Caenorhabditis elegans: one gene and its partner. The protein of the gene in region 2 purifies or fractionates together with the protein of the main gene of each other region. This does not show direct contact. Each region holds a gene or a part of one and is shown on either strand. Other genes may lie near its edges. The genes, in order: F23F12.13 and T06D8.2.

Region 1 (3,925 bases), on a different chromosome or scaffold from region 2:
ATAATTATTAACAAAAGTGCTATAAAACATTCAAAGTTCGGCCGAAAATATTGTTCACTATTTCTGAGTCTATTTGAGACACAGCTTCAATTCTAAATTTAAGTGAGACGTACAACTAGGAAAATAATGTGATCATTACTTTACATTTTAGTTAATAACTTCAAAATGCACTCACAATTTTTGCAAATGCGGTCACCGCACCGGACACAAACTGACTCAAATAAAAATTTCCAGCCAAATTCCCAGAATTCAAGTCAGAACCAAACGCTGATAAACTTGTAGAGAACCACAAAGATCCGACCACAATTGTACGATATGCAATTGTCCAGGAAGTGAATAAATCTTTCATTGTATAGATCTTCGTACTCTTCTCTTCTAGTTTTTCAGATATTTCTATACTTTGATCTTCGTCATTGACGTATGGGATCCCTGATAGCCATGCAACACGTTTCTCAGCCGCCCTTGCGTCTCGAAATCTCTTTTTGGTATTAAACCTAAAACTTCAGATTAAAAAATATAATTAATTAAGAAAAGTGAGGGTTCACCATTTCGGGGACTCTGGTAAGATTAAAAGAACTGGAAGAATTGGGAGTGAAAGAAGTGATGTGGCAATTGCAGCAGATCTCCAGTAGCCACAGATAAAGCAAGCAAGAGTGAAAACTAGACGAGCATAACCCTAAATATTGTATATAAGATTTATTGCATTCAGTTAAATAATATTTATCTATTTTTCGAGAAGTGCCTGAAAGTCGCACTACTGGTTAATGAAAACCTACCCAATTAAAGAAAGATCTCAAGAAAACTCTTTGCTCAGGCTCAATAAACTCCAGAATATATGCATAGAATACAATGAGAATTGAAGCAATCGAAGTACCAACGATGAATCTGAAAGCGGCAAAAACTTCCCATGATGGAGCAAATCCTGAAAAAGAGAAAAATAATAATTTCCATAATCAAGAATGCAGTTGTGAAAGTCGATTTTTTTCGAAATTGTAGTGTTAGAAATTTCGGTTCAATAGTTTCATAGCAAGTAAGAATTGCAAAAAGTATTCGATCAGGATGAGATTCGAACCCACGCGGGAAAATCTCAATAGCTGTCCACCGCCTTATTCGAATACTTTTTGAATAATTTGCTTTCATAGAAAGGTTGATAAGAATATAATCTTCAACTTTGTTTTGAAGTAATACTTTCTAATTTTCTCAAAATGCCAACCTGAAGCTACTCCGAACAAAATTCCCACAGAGATTCCAAAAAATGAAACAGGTTTTCTACCAAAATGATCACCCAAATGTCCATAAGTAATAGCTCCAATAAGAACTCCAATGAATTGAATAGTGGCTACCCATGCAGCATCATAAGCTTTTGTTCCACAAAACATTTTAAAATCCTGAACCATTGAGTGGAAAGGAGCTTCCTCAATGACTATTTTAGAGCAATTTGCTGTGAGTTCTGAGCATATTTCTGATCTGAAAAAAAGATGTTCCGCGTAGTCCGAAAAACCCAAATTTCAGAGCAAACTTACTTTGAAAGCTTGCATTTCGGTTTTGAAAACTGAAAACTGGGATCATCACAAGACAGGCCTGGACTGAAATTGTAGAAAATCTGAAAAAAAACAAGATTACAAGGCAATTTTCAATTATTTTCCTACCGAAAAAATTTGCTGGCAACAAAAGAAAAGTGCAAATTGCCAAAGGAAAAAACATAACCAGTGGAAGCGATTTGTGTTGAGAAATGACATTTCTGAAAATTTTAATAATTTCACAAAAAATCTGGTATTGAATTGGTGTGCTCGCTCAAGTTTACTGCTTAATAAAAGAAATGGAAGCTTTTTCAAATAATAACTGAAGACTGGTAATTTTAAAGTTGCAGCCTCATTTTACATAATCAATTTTGCATAATTAATTGAATACTTTTCTAGTAAAAAAAGGTAGGTATGGTCAGCCTGTGATTAATGATAGACCAATTACGATTATGGTGCAAACACTAAGAAAAATGTGACAAGCCGAACAATCTCTTATCAGTTTGAAACGTGATAAACTATTGGGACTTATCAGCTGAAAACGAGAGAAAATGAAAGAGAATCGGCATTTTTTAGCTGCCGGTAAAATGAAACAAAACATTATAGATTATGTTTCTTTTTTTCTTTATTAAACTGAAAATGAAAACATTTTTTGCGAAAAACTCGTTAACCTAAGACCGCTATACGATAGACACAAACAAGATCGAGGAATTATATAAAAATATAGCGTTAGATGGTCTTCATATTTCACTACAAGATCCTAAAAAGATATCCCATCTTGAGTTTTAGCAAGAAAAATCTGCTTTTGAAAAAACTGCAATAAATTCATTTTTTCCTATTTTTCGATATTGCAGAACATTATTTCCCTGATCTCTTGACGAGCAATTTTCACGAGGTAGAATTATTGAAGGAGAATTTTATTGAGTTTGTTTTTTCAGCTTACGAAAGTTATGGCTTCCATACTTTTAAAATTTTCAAATACCCAGTCAGCAACTTTAAATTTCTTATCAAGTCCAAGTCGATCAAAATGTTCATTTTCTCTTTGATTCAATGATGCTCTAAAAGTTAATCCTATCATCTACTTTTATTGCAAAAAGTCACACAAAAGTTCAAAGTATTCAAGTCAATGTAACAGTTCTATCAGTTACGGCAGAAATGGAATTCCAAATACTAAAAATAGCTTGATCATAATTATTTGCTCCAGATTTTCCAGTTGAAGACATTTGAATAGTTGCTCGTTCTCATTTCTTTGATTTTATTCGATTGAAGAATAAAATCGAGAAAATTCCAATTATAAAGTGATAGGTAGGTACAATCTGGAAATTATTCTCAGTTAAAATTAGGCTCTTTGATCTTCGTAACCGTTGCGAATATTGTTCGAATACCAAAAAGCAAGTTTGGTTCAGAGATGATTAGATTCCCCAAGTACCGGAAAAATATAAGTCCGGATGCATTAAATTGCAAATGAAAATATATAAATTAAAATTAAGAGAATAGAAAATTTAGTAGTCTGATAAACTTCTTCGAGTTGATATTTTGCAGTTAGAGGAGAATGAGTAAGTTTCTTTTTAAGTTTAATGTTTTTACGAAGTAGAACCAAATTAAACATGACATCAAGTAGATTAATTAAAAATAATACCACATAAAATGTGAATACCTGAAGTTATTATTATTTAAAGTTTCAGTATACCTTTTTTCAAACTTTCTCAGCCGTGCCTGGAGGATACAAAGAAAATGCTACATCGCCATGAGAAAACGTTTCATTTTTGTAAATTTGAAAAATTACTCCGAAATTGACAATAACCTGAAACAATGTTACCTTATCCTTGATCTTTAACTCCAATTTTACAATGAATAAAACAAAAAGTGGTCCCAATATGATTGGCATTTTCTCATATTTTTCAGATTTGTTCATTGCGTAATATCTTTCAACTGTAATTGTGAACGGGAAGTACGCGGAAAGTGTTACTAAAAAACAGATGGGAAGATTTCCGATCTTATGATGAAGTGAAGGAACTATTAGATCACAACTCCTAATAGCAGTGAGTGGCCGAATAAATTGAATTGTCTGAAATATTTCCAATTGTACTAAAACTGAAATTACTAACAGCCCGACCGCGGTTACTCCATATACTGTCGAAAATAAAATTAATGTTATAAAATAGCAATAAAATATAACCTTCAAATTTCCATGAAAACTTGATTTGGAAAATTTGAAAGCTAAAAAATAAAACAATGGGAGAATTGAAAGATATGAAATAATCATTTGATAAATGTTAGATGCTCTGAATAATGGATGAAGTGCCAAATTAGCAGCCTTGGTACAGGCGTCGGAATCATCGTTCATTTTCGGAAAAGTAAGTATAAATGTGTATACAATTTTATTTGAATAACTTAGAATACTA
Region 2 (3,925 bases):
TCCAAAAAGTGAAATTGCTGATCTAACATTTCCACGCTGATCCGGAGGAACCATCGAAAGAACCTGCTCTTCAGTTATATCATCCGTGGATTTATCCACAAAATCTTGAGATTCTAGATGTACAGAAGACGATCGTTTTCTGTTCAAGGCGGCTGGAACAATCATATTTTCTTTCTCAAGGAACTTATTTGTTCCCATTCCAATACTATTGCTTCTTCCTGAAAATTGGATTCAGTCTGACATTCTGAAATTAATTTTTCAAGTCGCTCACGTCTTGAAGAAGAAGAAGTGGAATTCGATGATGAAGAACTCGGAGCCTTTCTGACAACTGGTGATGGAGTCCTTTTTCTTGAAATTTGAGAGTTCATAGTAGTCGGCCGAATCGGAACTTCCCAAGTTGTACTACTTCTTCTAGTTGACACGGAGTCATTTGTTTGGGGTCTTTTCGGGGTTACAGTTCTTCTGGAAGAACTGGAAGAAGGTGGTCTAGGTGGGAGAAGGAATGCAGTAGATGGATCAGCTTGAACTTCAGTTGGGGAAAGGTCTGAAAGAATGTTGGAGTTAACTTTAAGTGTTAAACTTTTTTTTTGAAAAAACTCACCAACTGGTTGATAAAGCTTCGGTTTGGAAGGCAGCTCCGAGTTCTCTGGGAAGAGATTTTTTGGCCGATGTATCTCTTCATTTCTCGGCTTTAACTTCTAAACGTTAGTGAAATAATATTTATAGAATTACGAACCATGGTATCCTCCAGCAACCGTGGATCAACTGATGCAAGGATATTCGATCGTAACGCAGTGATTTCATCTGAAAATTGAAGAGTAGGGGTATTAGTAGAAGTTTGGATATGCAGCAGTGACATACCTTGTAGATCATTCGCCCTTTGAAAATCCTCATCAGCTACAGCCTCGCCTTTATCATTTTCCAGTTCTTCCATTTCTTTTGTAGATTTCTTCAAATCCCGAACAGCTAGTTGAGCTGATTTTGCTAGCTTGAAGTCCTCATTCTACAAGTTATCAATTTGATCTCCACTTTTTTAAAACCTACCTACCGCAACAGCCGTCTGCTTATTCCTCTCTATTGCACCAATCATTGCTTGAAGTTCTTTTGAATATTTGTGATCTGGAATCACATTTTGCGGAATCCCCGGTTTGAAATCTCGAGGATCTGCTTCAATGGGCTCGTCAGATGGGAGATATTTACCAAAAAGCTTGACATCGACTAGACCAACCTTAACATTTTTGAACTTTATACTAGATCTTTTGAATTACAAAGATTCAACCAAAGATTCCAAATTATTGATAACATCTGCATGGGCTTCTGATACACTTAAAAGCAACATGGAGCAAATTTCATCAAGAAACACATTTTTCAGCTCATACTTTTGATCGTCACTTTTCCTGCTCTTAAACTGAACATCCCTGGAAATGTGGAAGCTAAGATTACTAACTTTAATAATTGACAAACCCAATATATCCTTCCTCGTCTCGGCCAGAGTATATCGAGATTTTTTTCGGTATGAACTTGTTATGGGCAACAATTTCTATCTTCTCAATTTCACTCTTTTGACGGAGATGAAGCTCAATTTCCACTGGGAAGGTAAGGGATCTGAAAATCAGAAAAATGAATATTCTAGTATGTTTTGTGTTGAGATGTTTGGTTATTCTTGAACTCTGAAGTGTTTTGAAATTTTGTTTTTGGGAGCAAATTTTTTTTGTTGGAAAAATAGGACCTTGAAAAAAAAGTAGCTCCGGTTTTGAAACTGTAATACAAGAAAAATCAAAAAGATCCGCTAACACTTAGATTTTTGCCACAAAAATGATCGAAAATGAATGAATGTGGCTGAATTAAAATTTCATAAGAAGTTGCCTTTACGCGGAAATTCAAATTTTTGAATGAAACTTGATATATTTTTTAATTTTGCCTGCCTACTACTAGTCCTGCTTATTGCCAAAACTTGTACGAATTCACAAATTTCAGATAGTCCAACATGACCAAGATATCCTAAATAACCCTCCATACATTTTCAGACAAAATTTTACTTATAAAAGTGACGGCAAAGTTTTAACATACTTTAAAAAATGTTGATAACTGCAACTAATCTTATCTGTTCTCAGTTGATAGTTTTCAAAATTCTACTGGAATTCTTCAAAACTCACTTTTCAGAAACCCACTGTTTCTCCAAAAGATACTGTTTATCGGAATTTGGCACTCCGCCAATATGCGAGACAACGTACTCCAGCTGCATACGACTTATGACTAATATAACGAAAACACATCTCGACCATCTTCAGACGAGCTCCATGGAGACTGTTGTCAAGACGGGCACAAAAACATACGAAATTTGAATAATTTATTGTTGAAGGTTTGAGTGGTGCAAAACAAAGCAAAAAAAAAGAAATAAACGAAAAAATTGTAAAAGCAAAAAAAGCGAAAGACTGCCGGGTATTCAGAGACATAGAGAAAATGCCGCATTCCGCTAAGAGCACGGTATATACACATACAAGAGAAATTTATTTAAATATCATAGTTAGATTAAATATTAATTTAAAAAATAATTAAGTGAGAGCGGGAGAGAAAGAGATGAGAAATTCTTTTTGATGAGCATAACAGAATTAAGAAAAAAACTGGGTTTCTGGGATTGGAGAAAATTAGAGATATGAGATTTTGATAGTGTATGCACCTAGTACCGATATCCATCATTTTGATGTCCCTGCTGCTGTTGTTGCTGCTGTTGTGGACTGATGGTTCTATGGAAGGATTCCGTTGTTGTCGTCACCTCGTATTGACGATTTCCTTGGTTATGACGGTTTCGCAGTGTGCCGTTCGGCCGCTCCACGTCTTCCTCGTAGACGCTAAAATTAGGTGATTGGACATATTTTATTGGATGTTTCCTAACTTTTGGAAATATGGAAAAGTATAAGTATTTGAACTAGACCATTCTAGAACGCCAAAAATTGGCGCTGCAGTTCAAATTTTAAAGCTACAAGAATATTAGAAACTCGTAAATTCGCGCCACAACGTAGAATAGAGGTGATAGGCAGGCGGGGTTCAGACAGGTTCTGAAGTTGCGCCTGCGCACTATACCTGCCTACTTATTACCATGTTGCGGAATATTGCGACCTTGGACAGAAAAATACAATTAACATTTTTTGTCTGATTCCCTTTTTTATTGCAAAATCTATGACTTTGTAGAAAATTCAAAGAAATTTCGAAATCCTTCTAGATACTGTATCGGCGAGGTCTTGATCGTTTCGAGACCCGATACTGTATTTTTATGTCAAAAGCCAAAAATCTTATGGGTAATAAAACCGCAGTAAAAGCTAAGCAACAACTTATTTGAGCCCATAATTTGAAACCCTAGATACTCTAACAAAAACCTGATAACTTACACATATTCCTCCTTCACCGACGGAGCCTGAACACGTGGAAGTCTAAACCAACTGAAGAACGGCGAGACGCGCTCCTCTTGAACAATCGGCGTACGTTCGATAGTCATATGGTAGACTTCTTGGAAGCACAGGACGCAGTAGCACTGAACAAGGATCATAGATTATATTGCATTTCTAGCCTACTAAAGGTACTCACCAAGAACCAAGCCATGAAGATTCCGATGACCCATGCGACCCAGATGTCACGCCAATGGTTTTTGTATCCGTTGATACGGGAGAACGAGTCGACGATGCAGAGTCCCATGAATCCGAAGATAAGGAGTGGGCGGAGAAGTGGGGCTCCACGCAAGTTAATCATGTAGTAGATGTAGAGCTGGAGAGAATTAAATTTTGAAAATTTAAATTTCAATGATCGAATTTTTGATTCTTTGGGGGTACCCGGGCTCTATTTAGACAACCTTTAACATATTTGAAATATTTTTTTGTTTAGTGTTGAAGCAGAAATGAAAACGCCGAGCATGGCATTTTGATCAAAC

Evidence for each region.
Region 1: the proteins of T06D8.2 (region 2) and F23F12.13 fractionate together in Caenorhabditis elegans (co-fractionation; one large-scale study listed by BioGRID). This does not show direct contact.

Annotation. Positions count from the first base shown.
Region 1 is NC_003281.10:6,493,495-6,497,419, reverse strand, and holds the start of F23F12.13 (Major facilitator superfamily (MFS) profile domain-containing protein), read right to left. Parts: upstream 1,748-3,925; 5' UTR 1,740-1,747; coding exon 1,650-1,739; intron 1,604-1,649; coding exon 1,524-1,603; intron 1,468-1,523; coding exon 1,214-1,467; intron 923-1,213; coding exon 777-922; intron 677-776; coding exon 546-676; intron 495-545; coding exon 176-494; intron 1-175.
Region 2 is NC_003280.10:11,224,999-11,228,923, reverse strand, and holds the start of T06D8.2 (UVR domain-containing protein), read right to left. Parts: upstream 2,246-3,925; coding exon 2,157-2,245; intron 1,606-2,156; coding exon 1,465-1,605; intron 1,419-1,464; coding exon 1,280-1,418; intron 1,229-1,279; coding exon 1,049-1,228; intron 1,004-1,048; coding exon 862-1,003; intron 805-861; coding exon 737-804; intron 690-736; coding exon 602-689; intron 545-601; coding exon 272-544; intron 219-271; coding exon 1-218. Other genes in the region: plpr-1 (Phosphatidic acid phosphatase type 2/haloperoxidase domain-containing protein), read right to left, coding at 2,681-2,852, 3,390-3,532, 3,586-3,762.